Linked DNA regions of Callithrix jacchus. The protein of the gene in region 2 binds, or shares a complex with, the protein of the main gene of each other region. Links are inferred from orthologs where the notes say so. Each region holds a gene or a part of one and is shown on either strand. Other genes may lie near its edges.

Region 1 (6,709 bases), on a different chromosome or scaffold from region 2:
GGGTGGATCACCTGAGGTAGGGAGTTTGAAACCAGCCTGACCAACATACAGAAACCCTCAACTATATATAGATCATCAACTTCATTAGATGTCTCCTCCTTGGTATGGTTGTAAAAAAAAAAAAAAAAAAAGAAAGAAAGAAAGAAAGAAACCCCATCTCCACTGAAAATACAAAATTAGTCAGACATGGTGGTGCATGCCTGTAATCCCAGCTACCTGGGAGGCTGAGGCAGGAGAACTGCTTCAGTCGGAAGGCGGAGGTTGCAGTAAGCTGCAATCATGCCACTGCACTCCAGCCTGGGCAAGAGTGAAACCCCATCTCGAAATTTAAAAAAAATAAAAATAAAACACTAGGAACTACTACCCCAACATCATAACTAGCAAGGGATACCACCTGAGTCTGAACTCACTGTACCCACTATACTATAACACAAAGACTTTAATGGACATTAATGATTTTTCTTACATAAGTTTTTAAGAACATGCACTGGGAGGATAGTTAGACATACTATTATTTGCTATTGCTTATTAAATATGGAACTTAATTTCCATTGGCAGTATTTAGAAAGGCTATTTCACCACTGCCAATCTTAAAAGTAGGAAATACAGCAGCTCCCAAGAAGATAGTTTTTTTTTTTTTTTTTTTTTTTTTTTTTTGAGACAGATGGATTCTCACTCTGTCCCGAGGCTGGAGTGAAGTGGTGGCTAGGTTTCAACTGACTGCAACCTCCGCCTCCCAGCTTCAAGCGATTCTCCTGCCTCAGCCTCCCAAGTAGCTGGGCCTACGGGCGCACACCACCGGGCCCACGGGCGCACACCACCGGGCCCACCTAATTTTTGTCTTTTTAGTAGAGACCGGGTTTCACTATGTTGGCCAGGATGGTCTCCACATCTTGACCTCCTGATCCGCCCAGCTCAGCCTCCCAGAGTGCTGAGATTACAGGCAAGACCGCATCTTAGTAAATGGTGCTAGGGAGTTCAGCACAATGATCTGAGTCCTGTGAATTTCTTTTACCCATTCAATCACTTGACCCAGTTAGTGGAGATGCTCAACTGTACCTCATCAACTTGATTAAAAACACAAGTTTTTGGAAAAGCCACACAGATCAAGACTAACAAAACAGCTGGGAAAATTCCACAGATGCAGCCATCTAAGACAGACCCAGGTTTGAATCCCAGTGCTCATTTAATCATTTTGTGGCCCTGAACAAGTGAATTAACTTCTTTTGCACCTCTGTTTCATCTACAAAAAGAGCCCAACACTACCTCACAGGATTAGCCTGGGGAATAAATGGCAGAGAAAGCACCTCACACCTCCTAGAGCATAGCTATGAGCACCTAGTCCCTCCCTCTCTGGCTCTCTGGTAACAAGGCAATTAACTGTACTCTTTACAGAATCCAATCTCACAGGGGTAAATAGCCAAATCTTTCCAGGATCAGATCTCTCACTGAGCCTTTTCTCTTTAAGTTTCTGTTGGTGGCAGAGCAGGAGAGGGTGCTTAAACTGAAGGATACTCAGCAATTCTTTACTCCACAGCTTTAGGGTCCTGGCCCTTCTCTTCTACCAGAATGTCTGAGCACAGAGTATAAATGTCTCATGTTCACTGCTTTCCTTTTTTGCATTTCAGTGACTTATACTGTAAATGCTATTTGTGAAATGAGTCCAATTCACATGTACTAGAAAAACACACGTTCTAGTGAGTGCCAATGTTTCTGCCATCTCTCCTCTGACTTCCTACCATTCACATTCTTCTGTTCTTTTTATATAAATGACACCAAAATTCAACAAACCCAACAAATTATTTCAACCAACTTCATCAAAATGTGTCAAGTCAGAAATTCTTTATAATAGTACTTGCTACAAATTGTAGAAGGAAGATTCCTTTGTCAGCTGCTCATCTGACAAGGTTGTATACATACTGCGCTGCCATATATGAACTGACGGATTTAATCAACAGGTTGAGGTTCAAAAGGTCTACTAATCATATTTCCTTTTATCAGTAGTCCCTATGTTTATATTATCTTCGGCCCTTTCTACATGTTGGCTTGAAAGGCTCCTAATACACGGGAAGCTGGTGTCACGGTAATCATGCGAAACCTTTAATTAGGTGTTGAGAACGCAGTATCAATTTTTACTGGACATACGTTTTAAAATGCTTAACACTTCTTTGAAGCAACTAACGCAAAAATATCTCTGCAAGGGACCACTCCATTTATCACCAATGTCACCCACATTAGTAACCACAGCTGGTATATGTTAAAAATATATATATATCTTATAAACTGATTTGGTAAGCTTTGCAACCATTTTTATGCCATTAACATGTCACTTTAAGTTCCTTAACAGTAAGAAAAACTTTTCCCAGGCGTGTTCTCATGCCCCATACAGTTTAGTATTTTGTCCTGAGGTCTGATTCTAACAACTCAAACGGCAAAAAAAAAAAAAAAATAGGAGTTATTACGACTTTAATGATTGTGATTACATACATCTCAGTGCAGGAAAGGGGTGAAAAGAACATCATATTCCAAACGAACAAGAAAACCTGGATTTACGAGCAAGAAGCCCAATCACACATCAGGCCTAACTGCTCTCAGGCAGAGTTTCTTCCTGCAGCCCCTCCCCCACAGGTAAATGCTAACTATTTCTAGAACTCTCAGCAACAATTTGGGAAGCTTGCCATCAATTCCCATGATACCACCCAACATACACCATGTTTTGGGGAGACAAAGCTGCCCTACTTCCCCCGACTATAAACTTATTAAAACTGTGAGAACATACAATCCCAGGAAGCCAGGATTACTAAAATACATCCATGTAGCATAGGTCTTATTTTAATAAAAATGAAAATGAATCACACCGGAAAACCCAAACAGTCATTTTATCTTCAATGTGTAATCGGAATCGTTTATTCAAAGTTGTTGCAGGTAAGTGGATGAAAACACCACGAGGGCCTTATTACTACCCAAACTGGCGAAGGAGCCTTTAAGGAAAAAAGGAGGGGGTAGAAGATCACTTAATTATATGAGGTGCGGAATGGAAAAACCATTCAGTCTTAAAATTCAGACTAAAAATAACCTGTCATTTTCACCCACCACATTTTATTAACAAGCTTGTTTAGATCAGCATAAGGTTCCTGTTTGCGAAACAAGAAAGTGAATAGCAAACTTTCCTAAGTCAACTGTAAATCACATAGGTACGAAAACTCCTCACCCCCGGTGCCTGCACAGGCCAAGATTTTAAGTAAACTACAGACGCTGAGAACACCCTAATTTTCAACTAGCTCCCAACATTTCTCATTTGTAATCATCAAATTATCTTAGAGACACTTAGATAACCTAACAAAGAGAGCATTTTTAAAAGCCACAACCCAAATTTTATATGAAACACACCGTTTTCACAGCCTAAATTTAATCCCGGTTGCCACTGCGAAGTGATGCCTGTTTCAGCAATTTAAGAACTTCCAAAAATACTGAACACGTTAACACATGCATGGCTTCCCTCGAGCTGCCATTTAAGATTAATATTCCACGTAAATAAAAGTCTGCTTCTGCTCAAAAAATTAAATCGGTTGCAAAGAGGAAGTTACAGAGAAACCACCCTCACAACGTGGCCTTTACACTGTCAGAAAATAGCGTGACTCTGTGCCACCCAAACTTACCAGGAAGCTGGCAATAACTTTGCTAATTCTACACTCCTGAACCCAACTTCAAAGAGCCTCCACCAAATACCTCCTTGAGAGGATAAAAAGCACTAAGTTACAAATAAACACGTCCCGGAGCAAGGCCCGGCGGCCGCGCGCCCCTCCCCCGGCCGGCGCCCCCGCCCCGGACGCGCGGCCCCAACAGCCGCCCGCAGCCCCTCGCACGCCGGCCGGGGTCGCCGCTCCCGGGCCGGGGACGCGCCCGGGGAGGGGGCATTTCCATCGCTGCCCGAGGTTTCACAAAATAGCATGCACCGAAAAGCTCCTTCTCCTCTGCTAAAAATAGGCTATAAAGGAGTCGGCCTCATGATGGCTCCTTGATTCAATTTGCTGCAAATCCTTTCCTGAAAGCCTCCCCCCTCATACACACACGCACAAAAAGGGGGTGTAGATGCACGAAGGGTGGAACGGGGGAGAAGGCCGAGGTGCACATTTTCGGGGACAACATAATTAGGGTGAGGATCCCCCGAGACCAGGAAAGGGCAGGGGTGGGCAAGCACGTGAGCATTTCAAAGAAACCTGAGGAAAACGGGGGGATGGGGGCGCCCCAAGTGCCCTCCCTGCCTTCCCCTCCCCCACGCAAGCCCAGTTCCCCCAAGGGCCAAGTTGAAAAATGCATGTTCCACTCGCGCCCATCCCCCCCGCGGCCCAGCGCCCCCGGCCGCCTCCGGCCCGCGCCCCCAGCCCAGGCCCGCGGCCTCCCCCACTCCGGGGTCCGGCCCCCAGCGCTTACCTGGAAACGGTGGCCTCCAACGCCGCTCCCCCCTCCCAGGAATGGAGGCACAAGGAAATTCCCCTCCTCGCCGCCGCCGCCACCGCCTCCAACCACCCCCAAAATAACCCCTCCGGGGGGTGAGAGGCAATTATAACCCCAGCGAGCGGAGGGCGCGGGGGATGGGCGCCGGGCGGGCGGGGGCGGGGAGCGCGGCGCGGGTCCCCAGGTGGCGAGCGGAGGTGCTCCCGCCGCGGGGGGAGGGGCGGGGGCGCACGCGGCCGGCGGCGGGGGGAGGCGGCGCGCGGGGGAAGGGCGCGAGCGGGGAGAGGAATTGAGGCAGAAGGTAAAAGCTGTTACTAAGGGAAAGAGCCAAACGGTTCGGAGCAGCCAACGGCTCAGACACTCAACACTGGGGAGAGAGGAATGGGGACCAGCCAGGCACAAATGAGCTCGCGAGGCCCGCGGCGGCGGCGGCGGCGGCGGCGGCGGCCGCGCAGCAAAACAAACCCGAGCGGCCTGCGCCGGGCGGGCGGGCGAGCGGGCGGGCGCGCGGGGGAGGGGCCGGCGGGGGAGGGGCGCCGCGGACGCGGGGAGGCGGCGGCGCGGCGGGGGGGGCTCCGGCGGCGACGCTCTCCTCCCTCCCTGCCCGCTCCGGCGGCGCTGGGGGCTGGGCGTGTGCGGCGCATTCTTTTAAAAATCGGGCGAACCCCGCGGGCGCTCGGAGGCGCCTCGGGACCCGGCCGCCCGCCCCGCCCCCACCCCACCCCACCCCACCGCCGCGGGCCGGCCTGGGCGTGCTCGGGTGTGGGCCGCTGGGCCCCGGGCGGGTGGGGGTGGGGAGGCCCGCGCCGGGGCCGGGGTGGAAACGCCGGCGAAGTTTCCTAAGGAGGCCGCGGACTCCCGCGTGTCCGGGGGGCGGCCCGGCAGCGCTGGGGGCTGGGCGCACACGCGGCAGCATGTGCGGGAGCGCGGCGCGGCATCATAAGGACGTTTGTTGTGAAAATCTCTGTGCATACCTTTGTGTGCGTAAATACATATGGTTTTCCGAAGCGTACCTGGAAAGGTGCTTTATCTGTAATAAGCGACTTTCGAAATGTGATCCAGAGCACGGGATCTGGAGAGAAAACACACGCACACAAGAAAAGGTTTTTGATACTAAACACAAAGCTGAAATTGAAGTGTTTATGCCCAAATGTACTGCGAAGCAAGCATATGGTGGTATTTATCATCTGGTGGGTCTGTTTGAAAGGTTTGGTCGATCAGTTCTTATTTCACAAAATAAAATAATGTAACTAAATGTTTACTAAATATATACCTCCACGGCGGCATCCACAGTAGAAGTTTATCCACTCTGTGTACTTTTTGCATGTGTGAAGCACAGGAAGGCGGTTTATAAGGTATAACTTAGATGAGTGACAATGTGGCAGTATGATTGAGGGAGGGTCGTTTTTAAAGAAGGGCAGCACCTCACAGGTTTTGAGGCAAATGGGTGGTAATCTTTCTAAGACTTTCAGAAAGCTGGGGTGGGGTGCTTCTTACAGCTTTGTATAAGCTCAGCACTGGAGAAGCAGCCACCCTTTTAGTTAAGATACGACTTGAAACCTTTTTGCTATTTCGGTTATTACTGCCTTCAAAGCAAAATAATGTTTGCAGCTTTCTTAAAGGTGAAGGGTACGGTTTTTATACTTTCATCACAATATTTTAAATAGGTGTCCTGATCATTTTAAAGCAACCATCTTTTCATGTCAATATCAGAAGCCTAAAGTTCTGTGTATACACACACACACGTATTAATTGAAGTAACTTGCACCAGTCTGGACTCCCGGTGGCCTAATAAGTTCAGTGATTAGACAGGTGCTTACTTAGCCAAGGTCAATGTCTCTTTTCCCCATGAGCCCTTGCTTGGCGGAGCTGCCAGAGGCCCTTCTTGAATGACACAGTGGGGCAGGGAGCAGGAAAACCATCAGAGGAAAGGGAGTGGGATTGGAAACTCCCTTCCAACCACCAGAAAGGGAGTTCAAAGCGTATCAGTGGTGTGTCCTTAGAGGTATTTTCATGTATGAAAGAGGGAATGTTGGATTAAACAATGTCACCCGATGGGAATTTAGATAACTGCAGGTTTCCAAAACACTGTGCAGAGTGTACCGGGAAACAGCGCAAAGCAAGTTTTGCAATTCAGTTGGATTCTGAAGCTGAGGCTTGTTTACCTCAGAACTAACACCTTTGAAAAGACTTTATTTCAGAATTGATGAGTATTGTAGCTTCCTTTTGTTTTTTTTTGTTGATTAATGAC
Region 2 (6,867 bases):
AGACAGAATCGCTATGTTGCCCAGATTAATCTGGAACTCCTGGCCCCAAGTGATCCTCCCTCCTAGGCCTCCTAAAATGCTGGGTTTGAAGAGTAAGCCATCACCTGGAATTGTTGTTTTCCAGCCCCCAGGTGACTCTGAGCATGTGACAAGGCAGGCAAACACATCTAAATGTGATGCTGTCACCCTTCCTCACAGCCAGCCTTGTGGGCGGAAGTGCTTTTCCCACCGGGGCACCGACATCTTTCCTGCCCTCTTTGCATCCTCAAAAGCCTTGGCTGCTGGCACTTGAAATTTGAGAAGGGCAATCTGGCCTCCTGACTGCCCTGGCCTGCAGGCCCAGCCTGAACAAACAATTTCGGTGGAGCTCCTGGGGGTGGGAGGCAGGGAGGAGGGGCCTGGCCATCCTCTCCTGCCAGCTGTTGTAGACCCTGCTGGGGACTGATGAAGGGTGAGCAGAAGCATTTCTCTCCATGTTAACAAGCAGCTGAGAAAGTAGCAGAAAAGAACTTCCCATCCCCTTCCCGCTGTGGGGCCAAGCTTGGAAGTGGGGTGCAGGGCTGAGCTTGGAAGTGGGGTGTGGGGCCGAGTTCACAAGTGGGGTGCAGGGCCGAGCTCAGAAGTGGGGTTCGGAGCCAAGCTCCTAAGTGGGGTGTGGGGCCAAGCTCACAAGTGGGGTGCTGGGCTGAGCTCACAAGTAGGGTGCGGAGCTGCCAGCATCTGCAGGAGAAGGCAGGCCCTCAGTGGTATCTAGGGACTCTTGCCCCAGGGCAGTCACACCCTCCTGAGTCCAAGCACGGAAAGCCTCAGAACTCTCCCCGTCCTCCTCATGGCATTCTGCAACCTCTCCAGCCCACTGGAGCTGGACTTGAAATGAAACCCACTTATGTCTTCCTTAGATACCAGCCCAAAGTTGAGGAAAGAAAATCGTTTCCCAGGCTCAGTGTCCTAACTTCCTAATTGCAGGGGCTAAGTCTCCTTTGGCTCTGTGTCACACCCCCAGTTACAAACTTTGATGCCTCCCCAATGTCTCAGGTGCCATCTCATCAGCATCCCCCTGCCGCCACAGCCCCTCTTCCAGCCGCAGCCCCAATGCTGGCCTGCATTTGCCTAGACCAAGTCTCCCACCCCCCCACCCCGCTGAGCTGAAAGCTCCTAGCTCTATCTCCACACACCACACACGGCCAGGCGTGGCCTAGCACAGCACCTTCCACCCAGGTGCCTCCCCTTCCCTCCTCTGCTGGGCTTGCTCTACTTGACCTTGAAGGCTCAGCTCAACCGTGTCGTCCCAGAGGCCCACCCTGACTCCCCAGATTTCCATCTCCCTGCTGCAACTTGCGGCGCTGGCCTTAGCCCTGGTGACCCTGAATTGAGCTTGCTGGTTACATGGGGGCCTCCCCCATCCTCTGAGCTCCCCCGTAACTGACCCTGACCCTGTCTGGGTCCATCATGCATCTCCCTTACAGTGCCCAGCATGGCATCAGACTCACAGTGGGCACTGATGATGTCGGCTGAACTGACTCTGGGCCCCCGGTCCCTGAGGCAGGCAGAGTGAGGGCTGATTTGTGGGTCCATGCTGAGAACAGAATGCAGGGCCCTGGTTGGATGTCCGCCCCAGGACCAGAGTTGCAGAGCTTCAGCCCTGCCTTGGGCTGACTGTGGGACCCTAAGCAAGGCTTTCTCCCTCTCTGGGCCTCAGTGTCCTTCTCTGTCCAAAGACAGGCCCGAAAGCTCTGTGCCAGAAAGTGGACAGTGAGCAGGAAGTGGAGCCCAGATTTTCAGCCTCTGGAGGCGTCTTGGAAAATCCCCAGTGACCCTTGTCGCTCGAAACTCCCAGATAAGGAGATTGTGGGGCAATAAATCTGTGTGGAGTTTTGTCAGATCCTGATTTGGGGGGTTAAACAGGAAGAAGCTCTGCTGTGTCTTCAGAAGGCCTAGGCAGGAAGGAGACCAGCCTTCTGAGGACGGCTGACAGGTGGACAAGCTCTGCCGCCCTCGAGGTCCTGAGTGTGTCTGGCGTGTGCAGGCTGCAGCGCCCTCACAGATCATCCTAACAGGTGGGCAGGGCAGGGCTGTTACTATCATGTGGATAGAAACACAGAAAGCGGGAGAGGGGATGAGATTTGCCCAAGGTCATGGAGTGAATTGGTGTCAGAATTAGGATTATCGGCCAGGGCTCAGTGGCTCATACCTGTAATCTCAGCACTTTGAGAGGCAGAGGCGGGTGGATCACCTTAGGTCAGGAGTTCAAGATCAGCCTGGGCAACATGGTGAAACCCTGTCTCTACTAAAAGTACAAAAATTAGCTGGGTGTGGTGGTGCATGCCTGTAATCTCAGCTACTCGGGAGGCTGAGCAGGAGAATCACTTGAACCCCGGAGGCAGAGGTTGCGGTGAGCCAAGATTGCGCCATTGCACTCCAGCCTGGGTGACAGAGCAAGACTTTGTCTCAAAAAAAGAAAAAAACAAAGCAAAAAAAAAGAATTGGGATTCTCCAGCCTGACCAGCACACTGCTATGACAGTGATGGGCCCAGCCCGTTGGCTCCTAGCACCCCAAGGTGGAATTCGGAAGAAGCTGCTGGTTTGAATGGAAGCTCAAGCTGAGAGTCAGGTGGGCCTCCCCCTGGGTCCCCACAGGGCTGTACATGGGCGCAGCAGAAGGGGAGAACCATCTGGGGTTGACAGTCCTCGGGGTGTGTTGGTGGGGGAGGAAGGAAGAGAAGGAAAAAACACAGTGGGCAGGAAAGGAGGAGGGGAGGGGCACTTCCATGAGCCGAGCTCCTACGTTGTGCCAGACACATGCAAAGTCTTTTACGTACATGATCTAATTTAATCTTCTAGATTCTATGAGAAAAATATTAGGGTACTCTAATGCTATGGTACAGAGACAAACAGGGGTCCAGGGCTTGAAACTGGTGACTTCTTTTTCCCTGCCCTTGGCTACCTCCCCAAATGTCAGGATGGGACTGCATGGGATGGAGAGACTGCTCAGTCTGGGAGGCGGGGAGGCTCCCTGGAGGTGGTTCTGCTGGAGCTGGGCCAGGAAGGTGGGGTGAGAGGAAGGGGCATCCTAAGAGCCCCGCTAAGTGCCACCCAGCAACTTACCTGGGCTGGAGTAGTTCTAGGTGGAGGGAAGGGGCATGAGCAAAGATGGATTATCTGGGAAAACATGATGCTTCTTTATTTTCTTTTTGCTTCTCCCCTTCTCTTTTGAAAAATGTGATGCTTTGAGGGGAAAGCAGACAGACCAGTTCAGCTTAGAGAACAGGTCTGTGGAGATGAGAAGGAGATCAGGGACGCAGGGGGAATGTAGAGACCTCAAAACCCAAGTCCAGCAGAGGACTTTATCCTGAGGACAGAGGGGACCCGGGTGGGTTTCAACAGACGTCGGGAAGGGGCAGGGCCAGAGTTGAGGTCGGAATACTCTAGGCCTGAATCCCCAAGAGAGAAGGCTGCTCAGGCCTTGGCATGGCCTGGGAGAGGAGTAGAGAGCAGGTGGGGGCTGTGGGGGGCAGGGCTGGCTGGGGAGGAGGCAGGGCAGGAGGAGGAGGCCAGTCCAGGGACGGTGGCTCTGGGCAGTGTCAGATGTAGGGAGGAGGCACTCCCGCAGGCCTAATCTCATCAGGAAGAAAGAGGCCTTGTCTTGGCTCGCTCTCTGACTCAATCTGTACTTCCTGTGGGCCTGCAGGGAGGCATCTGTGCTGGACCAGAATGATGGGCAGCGCAGGGGCGGGGAAGGCGGAGACCTGAGGACAGGGCTGTTTGTGTTTGCCGGCTGCAGACCGCTTCTGCCTCCCTTGTTGATGGTCGAGCCCCAACAACCCTCACTCGTGAGAGTCCCTGGATGGCTGCACTCCTGCTTCCCTGCCTGGGCTGTGCTGATGGAGAAGAAGCAAAGGGTTTTTTCCCCTGCTCCTCCACCCCATCCCAGGCCCCTCAGCACCAGGGCAGGGTGGGGCCTTCTGACATCCACCCGGGAGAGCCCAGCCTGGAGAAGCACAAATGCACTCTCTTGGATTCTTCTCATCCAGCAGGGATTGTCAGCTAGCCTTCTGCATGTGTGTGTCTGTTCCCCATCATCATCGTGAGCGCCAGGGGTTGGAACTCTCACGAGCCACTCAGACCCTGGCAGCCTGCTTTATGCTTTCTGGTTTGGGATTTTTATTTAGATCCCCAAAATATTGGGCTCCCAGCATATACCTGGTTGTGTGTTAAATCACATCTCAGTGTCCTGTACACATTAGGACCACAACAATCTTACTAGTCAACGTCTGCTGAACACTACGTATGCACCAAGTGTGACTCCGCATGCTGTGTATAAGTGTCACCTCATGTAAGTGTCCAGGCACCCCTGTGAGAGTGTGGACCTGCGACTGAACAGCGTGGCCTGGATTCCAGCCCAGCCACTAACTAGCTGTGTGGTCTTAGGCAAGTTACATAACCTCTCTGTGCCCTGTTTCCTCATCTTAAAAATGGGGTGATGATAGTATTTGCATGAGGGTTGAGTTAGTACATAGAATATACTAAACACCTAATCAGCAATATAGGTGTTAGCTATTATTTGTATTTGTAGCTCCTGATTCTCCTAGTGAGGAAACAGACACATTAACTTGCCCAGAGTGGCAGAGAGGAAATGTTAGGGCGGTGCTGTCCGACAACTTTTTTCAGTGATGGGCGTGCTCTATAATTACTTATATGGCTTCATCTGTGAATATTAAGCACGTGTGGCTTTTGAGCTCTTAAAATGTTGCTAATGTGACTAAGGAGCTAGATTTTACACTTTATTTGATTTTAACTTTAATTTAGAAGTCTTGTGGGACTAGAGGTTCTGTGTTGCACAGGGCTGTTTACAGCCAAGATTCGAACCCTGACAGTCAAGCTCCAGAGCCTGGGCCACCTCTGTGCTCTCCTGCTTCTTTCTTGCATAAATCTTGTACAAAGGAAATTTAAAGACACATACAAAATTAAAGAGAAGATTCCAGTGAATCCTCATGTACCCCGACCCACCATCAGCAGCCTGTTTCATCTCTACTCCCTCATTTTCTCCTCCTCTGTTCAACAGCCCCAAGGTATTTTAAAATAAATCCTGGATGTTATACCATTTCATCTGTGAATATTAGGCATATGTCTCTAAAAGATAAAGACTCTTGTCTAATATAAGCACAATATTATTGTCACACTGATGACAACAATTCTGTAATATTGTCAGGTGCCCAGACTGGAGTGCAGTGGCGTCATCATAGCTTACTGCAGCCTCTAACTCCTGAGTTCCAGGGATCCTCCCACCTCGACCTCTGGAGTAGCTGGGACTACAGGTGTGTACCACCATGCCCAGTGAATTTTTTTTTTAATTTCTAGTAGAGATGAGATCTTGCTGTGTCAACCAGGCTGGTCTTGAACTCCTGAACCCGAGCGATCTACCTAATCCTCCCAAAGTAGAATTTTCTTCCTTTTAAAGGTTGAATAATATTCCATGGTATGAATATACCACATTTCACTGATCCGTTCATCTGTGGATGGACACTTGTGTTGATTCCACATTTAAGCTATTGTGAATAATGCTGCTATGAACATGAGTGTGCAAATATCCCTTCCAGATCCTGCTTTCATTTCTTTAAGCCTGCATATTCCAGAAGTGGAGTTGCTGAATCTTATGATCGTTCTACTGTTAAATTTTTGATGAACTGCTGTACTATTTTTCATAGCAACTGCACCATTTTACATTCCTACCAACAGTGCACTAAATCAGATTGTTTCAAATCGAATTGTTTGCTTGCTTGTTGAGTTGTAGGAGTTCTTTGTATATCCTCAGTATTAACACCTTATCAGATAGATTTGCAAATATTTTCTCTCATTCCGTATGCTGCCTTTTCACTCTGTTGCTAGTATCCTTAAATGCACACCAGTTTTTAATTTCCATGAGTATAATTTGTGTATTTTGTTGTTGTTGTTGCCTGTTCCTGGTGTCATAACCAAGGAATCACTGCCAAGCCCAATGTTGTGAAGATTTTGCCCTTTGTTTTCTTCTAAGTTGTTGTTTTTTTTTTTTTTTTGAGATGGAGTCTCACTCTGTTGCCCAGGCTGGAGTGCAATGGCGCGATCTCGGCTCACTGCAACCTCTGCCTCCCAGGTTCAAGCAATTCTCCTGCATCAGCCTCCTAAGTAGCTGGGATTACAGGCACATTCCACTATGCCCAGCTAATTTTTGTATTTCTAGTAAAGATGGGATTTCACCATGTTGGTCAGACTGGTCTTCAACTCCTGACCTCATGATCCTCCCGCCTTAGCCTCCCAAAGTATTGGGATTACAGGCATGCACCACCGCACCCAGCCTTCTTCTAAGGTTTTTATAGTTTTAGCTCTTACATTTAGGTCTTTGATGCATTTTGAGTTAATGTGAGAAACCAGATAGCATGTAGCATTTCCTGGGTTTTTTCCTGATTGCATCCAGGTGGCTGTTGAACACATTTCTCCATACCCTGTGTGCGTAGTTACATCCAAAGACTCGGTCAATGTTGGGTTTCATTTCTTGTCAAAGCCACTTTATAAGTAGGTTTCCTGTTGCTTCATACTAGCAGCACATAATGTCCGGTTATCTCTTTTAGTGATGCTAAGATTAGTCATCGGGTTCAGGTGTTGCCAACCCCACCAATCTATTACACCAGTGAGTCTCAAACTTCGCTATGCATCAGTCACCTGCGGGCTGCTTAAAGAAGAGTGGTGAGCCCTGCCCCCAGAATGCTTGATTCAGTAGGTCTGGGAAGGGAAGCTTGAGAATATGCAACTCTAAAAAGTTCCCTAGTGATATGGTTAATGGGGAGCTACACTTTGAGAACCACTGCATCACATCCATTAGGTGTTGCTGTT
Region 3 (6,592 bases), on a different chromosome or scaffold from region 2:
TGAGTCTTGCCGGAAGCTGCGAGGAGACGAGGCCCACAGGCGCAGAGGGGAGCCTCCCCGGGAATACGCACTGCCCTTTGGCTGGTGCAGGTTCAACCTCAGGTACATATGGGCAGGGTCATGCATTTCACCTACTGTTTGCTCCCTGGAGAAATGGGGATCCCAAGAGGGTGCATGGAAGAAGTGATAGAACTTTGGTCTAGGGAAAAGCCAGGAAGTGCCAGGAACTTTTTAAGGAAGAGACCTGTGAAGCTCCTCCATGAGGGAGCCAGTGGCCTTTGTTCTATCTGCCCCACTTATCTACTTCCTAGAGTGAATCCCTGCCTGGAGGCTGGGACACTAACCAAGAAATGGCACATGGCATATCATGGGAGCAATGTGGCAGCTGTACGGAGAGTGCTGGACCGAGGGGAGCTGGGAGCAGGTACTGGGAGCAGGCCCTCGAAGGGTGGGCTGAGCCCGGGGGCTATGGAGGAATAAAGAGGGCTGTCCTAACCCAGTTCTCCTCCCAGGTACTGCCTCCATCTTGAGCTGCCGTCCCTTGAAGGGAGAGCCTAGGGTAGGGTTTGAGGAGCCTGGCGAGAACTGTGCACCTCCTCGGGAGGAGCAGCCCCCTCCGGTGCTGCTTTCCCCCTCCCTTCAATATGCTGGGGCTGAGTCCCTGGCCTCCAAAGTGCAGTGAGTACTGGGAGGGGCGGGGAGATCTCCAGGGCCTCAGACGGAGAGGGGCCTCAGCGCAGTCACTGGGGTCTTCGTGATTTACCGTCCCCTTTTCTCATCTTGTCTTGCTAGCTGCCCAGTCTCCAACTCAGCCCTTTCTTCACTTATTGAACAAATACCACTTGTATGCTCATCTAGTGGGCAAAAAAAGGAAACTTGCTCTTGTGGAACTTCTGCCTTTTCTCTGTAATGTTTACATATAATAAACATTTAGTAGGTCTGAGTAAGAACTACGGAAACAAAGAGTGGGGTGAAGGAAACAGCAGTGCTGTTGCTGTGGGCATCATAAGAAGGTGGGAGGCCAGGTGCAGTGGCTCACACCTGTAATCCCAGCACTTTGGGAGGCCAAAGCGGGCAGATCATGAGGTCAGGAATTCAAGGCCAGCCTGGCCAATATGGTGAAACCCCATCTCTACTAAAAATACAAAAATTAGCCTGGCATGGTGCCACCTGCCTGTAGTCCCAGCTACTTGGGAGGCTGAGGCAAGAGCATCACTTGAGCCCAGGAGACAGAGGTTGCAGTGAGCTGAGATTGTGCCACTGCACTCCAGCCTGGAAGGTGGGAGACATTCGAGCAAAGGCTTGAAGAAGGAAGTAAAGGGTAGCTGAGCAGGCTTTGGGAGGAAGAGCATTTCAGGTAGAAAGAACAGCTAGAACGAAGTTCCCAAAAGGTGAGAGGATTTCCTAGGTAAAGCAAGGCTTGTGTGGTTGGAACAGACTTTGCAAGGGGAGAGGTGATGGGGTGAGAGGCTTCACTCCCCTATTTCTTCTTGTCTGACAGATTCCGGGACCCCAAATCCCAGCGGACGCACCAGGCTCAGGTGGCGTTCCAGGTGTGTGTGCGTCCTGGCTCCTACACCCCAGGACCCCCTTCCGCTGCCCTTGGAGAACCTTCTGACCCTCACTTCAGCCCAGCCGAACTTGAGTGGGTCACTAAGGAGAAGGGGGCCACACTCCTCTATGCTCTGCTGGTACGGGTGGAATGAGGGGTGAGACACCACTACTACAAGCACAGTCGGGCCTCAGGCCCATGGACTCCGAGTGGCGACTGCCTCCACCTCATTCCCGTGACTGTGGCATGCGCAGGTGCTGGGGCTCGGCGGCCGCTCAGGAGCATGTAGGCAGGCTCTCAGATGTAGGTGGGAAGCGGCACACTCCAGGTCCAGACGCCCAGCACTCCGTCTGAGGGGAGGAGCTGCGAGAGCCTAGCTCCAGGCCTTGGTACCCTTCTTCATGCACTGATTTGTGGAACATAACTCCCTATTACTCCCCTCCCCGACATCACTTAATTTATTTCAGTTTTTGTTACTGGTTACTGTGAATCCCAGAGGAGTCTCTACCTGTGCCCACATGAAGCTGCTTTTGCCGGGGCCACTGGGCGGGAGTGGGGAAGGGCGGGCGCACGGAAGACGGGGGCCTCTGTACAGTTGTTACTGACTCTGATTTCTAAGGAGCCAATAAACATCGTCTCAGAGCCTCCGCTTCAGCCTCTCTCTCACGCGCCCCTTTCCGGATCCTGCGTCCCCTGGGGTACTGCCAGGCGGGCCCGCGAAATTAAGAGAACTGAAGATGCCAAGGCAGTTGTGCGGCGACGGGGTTTGGACGCCGCGGGTACCCGTCGCATCGCGCTTCCGCCTTCTCCCACCCAATCAGTGAGATCGGCCGCCGCCGTGACTCCGGAAGGACTCGTCGGGCCACCGGATGTGACGTAGGGTCCAGGGCGCGCCGGAGCCGCGGAAAAAGCGCAGAGAAGGCTGGTAAGGAGGGTTGGCGTCCGGGCTGGCCAGGCAGGGAGCGGCAGCACCGAGCCGGGGACCCAGCGCCGCCCGCGCGCGTGCTGGAGCGGGGGCTGCGGGCTCGGCCGGGTGGCGGGCTCCCGGGACACGTGACCGGGGCGGCGAGCGGGTTTCCGCCTGAGCCGGGCGCGGGCCCCTCTGAGCGCCCGCCTCTCCGTAGGTCTCGTCTGAGGTCTGGCAGTGAGAGACAGAGCCGGGCGTCCACGGCAGCACCATGCCTGCACTTCTGGAGCGCCCCAAGCTTTCCAACGCCATGGCCAGGGCGCTGCACCGGCACATTATGATGGAACGGGAGCGCAAGAGGCAGGGTGAGCCGGGGCCATAGCGGAGGGCATACGGCCCAGAATGGCTCCTGTACCTCAGGGCTGGCCCCAACCCACCGGCCAACCTGCGCGCCCGCTGCCGAGCGCAGAGGAGGGAACGAACAGCTCTGTTGTGGTAGGATTTAAGCGTCCTAGTCCACTCTCCAGGACCCTTGAGCTGGGAAGGACCTTGGAGAGCACCTGATAAAGTCTCTCCATTCCATTCCCTATTGCAGCGTTGGGGAGCTTGTCCCCTCGAGGCAAAGAGCCCACAGGCGTGTTGGGATGACTGGGTTTTGCTGGTCTTCAATCTGTAACGTTGGAATTTTTACTACCCTGCCTCTTCCTCATTCTGCGTGATTCTCCAGAGGAAGAAGAGGTGGACAAGATGATGGAACAGAAGATGAAGGAAGAGCAAGAAAGAAGGAAGAAAAAGGAGATGGAAGAGAGAATGTCACTAGAGGAGACCAAGGAACAAGTAAGCAGTCCCTTGATCTCTCCAAGCTCTAAATTCTTCCCTTGACTCTCCCTGCCTTCATCTTCTCTCCCCACCCCATACCAGATTCTGAAGTTGCAGGAGAAGCTTTTGGCCCTACAGGAAGAAAAGCACCAGCTTTTCCTGCAGCTCAAGAAAGTTTTACATGAGGAAGAAAAACGGAGGCGAAAGGAACAAAGGTGGGATCAGAGTGATAAAAACCGAAATGGGGGCTAAGTGGAACTGGGATCAGATAGTAAGACAACCAGTGTTTTAACGACAAAAGAGAGAGTGTCTGTCCTTGACTTTGATCTGTTTTCCTTCCGCTCCAGTGACCTGACCACCCTGACATCAGCTGCATACCAGCAGAGCCTGACTGTTCACACAGGAACTCATCTCCTCAGCATGCAAGGTGAGGATTAAAAAAACTACCTGATAGAACCAGCCTTCTTTGAGGTTGCAGCCTACCATTTCAGCATCCTGCCGCCCTTCTCCCTTTCTAGGGAGCCCTGGAGGACACAATCGCCCAGGCACGCTTATGGCAGCTGACAGAGCCAAACAAATGTTTGGACCCCAAGTGCTTACGGTAAGAATAGGATTGGATGCCTAGTCCCAAATATCCTTGCCACCAGTATTCAAGTCACAGACATATCAAGCACTTAAATTTAGGGGGAAACAAGAGCATAAAGATATACACAAGTCACTGAGTTTCAGCTTTCATGGAGCTTGTAGGTGAGTTCTCATTCTCCCTCCTTAGACTCGGCACTATGTGGGCTCAGCAGCTGCTTTTGCGGGGACACCAGAGCATGGACAATTCCAAGGCAGTCCTGGTGGTGCCTATGGGACTGCTCAGCCCCCACCTCACTATGGGCCCACACAGCCAGCTTATAGTCCTAGTCAGCAGCTCAGAGGTGAGTCGTCGGAGGGATGGGGGCTTGGCTTTCCTCAGGGTCAAAAGAGGAATGCTATTGAGTAAAGGGTTAATAGCCGTGTCTCTTTCTCAGCTCCTTCAGCGTTCCCTGCAGTGCAGTACCTATCTCAGCCACAACCACAGCCCTATGCGGTACACGGCCACTTTCAGCCCACTCAGACAGGTGATAACATCCCATGCAGGACCTCTAGCTCTCTGGGTCCTCCCCTCCCTGTCTCATTGTTTCACATGCCCCTGCTCCCCACCTAGGTTTCCTCCAGCCTGGTGGTGCCCTGTCCTTGCAAAAGCAGATGGAACATGCTAACCAGCAGACGGGCTTCTCTGACTCAGTGAGTATGGCGCTTGGGAGGTCAGGGTTAAGGATATGTTAAGAGGAGCTTCAGTATGCGTCAGGCCCTGACTCTGTTCTCTGCAGTCCTCTCTGCGCCCCATGCACCCCCAGGCTCTGCATCCAGCCCCTGGACTCCTTGCTTCCCCCCAGCTCCCTGTGCAGATCCAACCAGCAGGAAAGGTAAGAATGGTAATAACCTTACCTGTCAGAATCCCTATCCCAGAAAAGCAGAATTAGGTAGGACAGGTGGCCCACATCATCTGGTTTTACCTTCCTCTTTGGGGGTGGTTATCAGTAAGGGTATTAGTGGAAGGGAAAGTATGCCCAGTGACAAAGCCCTCTTTTCATCACCACCGCCAGTCGGGCTTTGCAGCTACCAGCCAACCTGGCCCTCGGCTCCCCTTCATCCAACACAGCCAGAACCCGCGATTCTACCACAAGTGACCATCAGATTATTATCTTCAACACCATACCCCCCATCCTACTGTGGGTGAGGGTACCCCCTGTGTGTCCCAGGCCAATAAAATCTACCTGCCACTGCCCCTGGCTGCTGCTGTTTGTGTTGCCTCCCACCCAACTGTCTGGAATAGGTCAAGGCTGCTTGAAGGGTTGGGTTAGGCTGGCAGGTCTACAGCAAGTCAAAGTGATACAGATAGTGGGTTTCAATGAACTCAGTGGCAGAGGTCAGTCTTTTTGTGGGTTCCAAATATACCCATTTAATTGAAATAAGCAGCTGAGTTGGGGGCTTCATATTAAACTTGTAGTTTTATTCAGGTTTGATTTTAACAAATGTATCGGGGAGAGAGCCCGCAGGGAAAGGTAAAGCCCATGGGGGCAGGGCCCTCCCAGATGCCTGAGGAGGGGCAAGTCCCCTCCCCCTCCTCCTCTTCCCTCCCCATCTAAAGGGGTTTGGGGAGAGAGACGCAGGCAGGGGAGGGGCTGGTCCCCATTCTGTTGGGATGGTGCTTAGGGTAAAGGGCCATGGGGAACAGGGGACCAGACCAGGGATGAGTGGGGAGGGCATAAGGACCATTTGCCAGAATCCACTGCTTTCTGATTCCAGATTGAATAAAAAAAAAAAAAAAAAAAAAAAAAAAAAAAAAAAAAATCCACAAGCAGCACCCACCCCTTCTCCCCCACCAGAGCTGTAGTGTGAGGGGAGGAGAGGAGGGCAGCTCACCAAGGCCATGGCTTCGCTTGCTCCTGGCCAAGGGAGCTAGGTGAAGGGCAGGGGCTCCCCGACAGATTGGGGGGGGGAACCAAAATAAAACGTCAAATAAATTGTGTAGGAGTCGTCCAGCCTAGGACCAGGCCAGAGCCAGGCCAGGCTGGGGGAGGGGGCCTCTGCAGGTTCAGAGGATCACTGCTGCCACCACCGCCACCCTGGGTTGGAGAAAGAAATTGGTAAGACAGGATAATACACCTTCAACAGGAAGGAGAGGGAAGACAGGGCCAAGCTAGGGGCAGAAAGGAGCAATTAAGACTAGAGCAGCTCTGCTGAGTGAGGACAACAAAATGTAAAGGCGACAGTGAAGGATTTGTGACACTCACCAGGGAGCCAGTTATTTTGCCATGGCCTTGATTGCAACAGCTGCCTCCTCTGTCATGGCAGACAGCACCGTGATCTGGAGGAGCAAGAGGGACAGCCAGATGTCTGAGCTCAGAGGAAAAAATGTACAGAGCAAAGCTGAGCACAAAAGCAGGGAGGGAGGCACCATACCAGGATCTCTTCTCCACAGTCATACTTCTGCTCAATCTCCTTGCCAAGATCTCCCTCAGGCAGACGAAGGTCCTCTCGCACCTCCCCACTGTCCTGGAGCAGTGATAGGTACCCATCCTGGATGCCAATCAGCTGGGGGCACATAGGGAAGGAAGCTGAAGGTAGTAACTAGCCCAGGTAGGCTGAGAGTAAAGGCTCTGAGACAGATTGGAATGACAGCAAACTAATACCAAATACCCTCTCCTGCCATTTCCCTCCTATCTCCCAGCACAAGCTCTTCTGGTCAGTCCCTGTCCTCCAATCCCCCTCCACCATAA

What was found.
Region 1: CORO2A (region 2) and TBL1XR1 share a complex: the UniProt entries of both Homo sapiens proteins name them as parts of the N-Cor repressor complex. The link is inferred for Callithrix jacchus from reciprocal best matches to the Homo sapiens genes CORO2A and TBL1XR1.
Region 3: CORO2A (region 2) and GPS2 share a complex: the UniProt entries of both Homo sapiens proteins name them as parts of the N-Cor repressor complex. The link is inferred for Callithrix jacchus from reciprocal best matches to the Homo sapiens genes CORO2A and GPS2.

What each region holds. Positions count from the first base shown.
Region 1 is NC_133518.1:9,699,329-9,706,037, reverse strand, and holds the start of TBL1XR1 (F-box-like/WD repeat-containing protein TBL1XR1), read right to left. Parts: upstream 4,540-6,709; 5' UTR 4,435-4,539; exon of another isoform or gene 3,660-4,434; intron 3,646-3,659; exon of another isoform or gene 1-3,645. Other genes in the region: uncharacterized protein LOC144579870, read right to left, coding at 5,298-5,530. UniProt on the Homo sapiens protein: F-box-like protein involved in the recruitment of the ubiquitin/19S proteasome complex to nuclear receptor-regulated transcription units. Plays an essential role in transcription activation mediated by nuclear receptors.
Region 2 is NC_133502.1:146,291,086-146,297,952, reverse strand, and holds the start of CORO2A (coronin-2A), read left to right. Parts: upstream 1-2,356; 5' UTR 2,357-2,587; coding exon 2,588-2,611; intron 2,612-6,867.
Region 3 is NC_133506.1:73,796,438-73,803,029, reverse strand, and holds GPS2 (G protein pathway suppressor 2), read left to right. Parts: upstream 1-2,419; 5' UTR 2,420-2,477; intron 2,478-2,676; 5' UTR 2,677-2,730; coding exon 2,731-2,824; exon of another isoform or gene 2,825-2,954; intron 2,955-3,054; exon of another isoform or gene 3,055-3,186; coding exon 3,187-3,296; intron 3,297-3,380; coding exon 3,381-3,493; intron 3,494-3,625; coding exon 3,626-3,705; intron 3,706-3,796; coding exon 3,797-3,879; intron 3,880-4,050; coding exon 4,051-4,204; intron 4,205-4,297; coding exon 4,298-4,387; intron 4,388-4,473; coding exon 4,474-4,553; intron 4,554-4,617; coding exon 4,618-4,735; intron 4,736-4,915; coding exon 4,916-5,049; 3' UTR 5,050-5,095; downstream 5,096-6,592. Other genes in the region: NEURL4 (neuralized-like protein 4), read left to right, coding at 1-102, 312-424, 513-678, 1,502-1,706; EIF5A (eukaryotic translation initiation factor 5A-1), read right to left, coding at 6,118-6,180, 6,276-6,407. UniProt on the Homo sapiens protein: Key regulator of inflammation, lipid metabolism and mitochondrion homeostasis that acts by inhibiting the activity of the ubiquitin-conjugating enzyme UBE2N/Ubc13, thereby inhibiting 'Lys-63'-linked ubiquitination.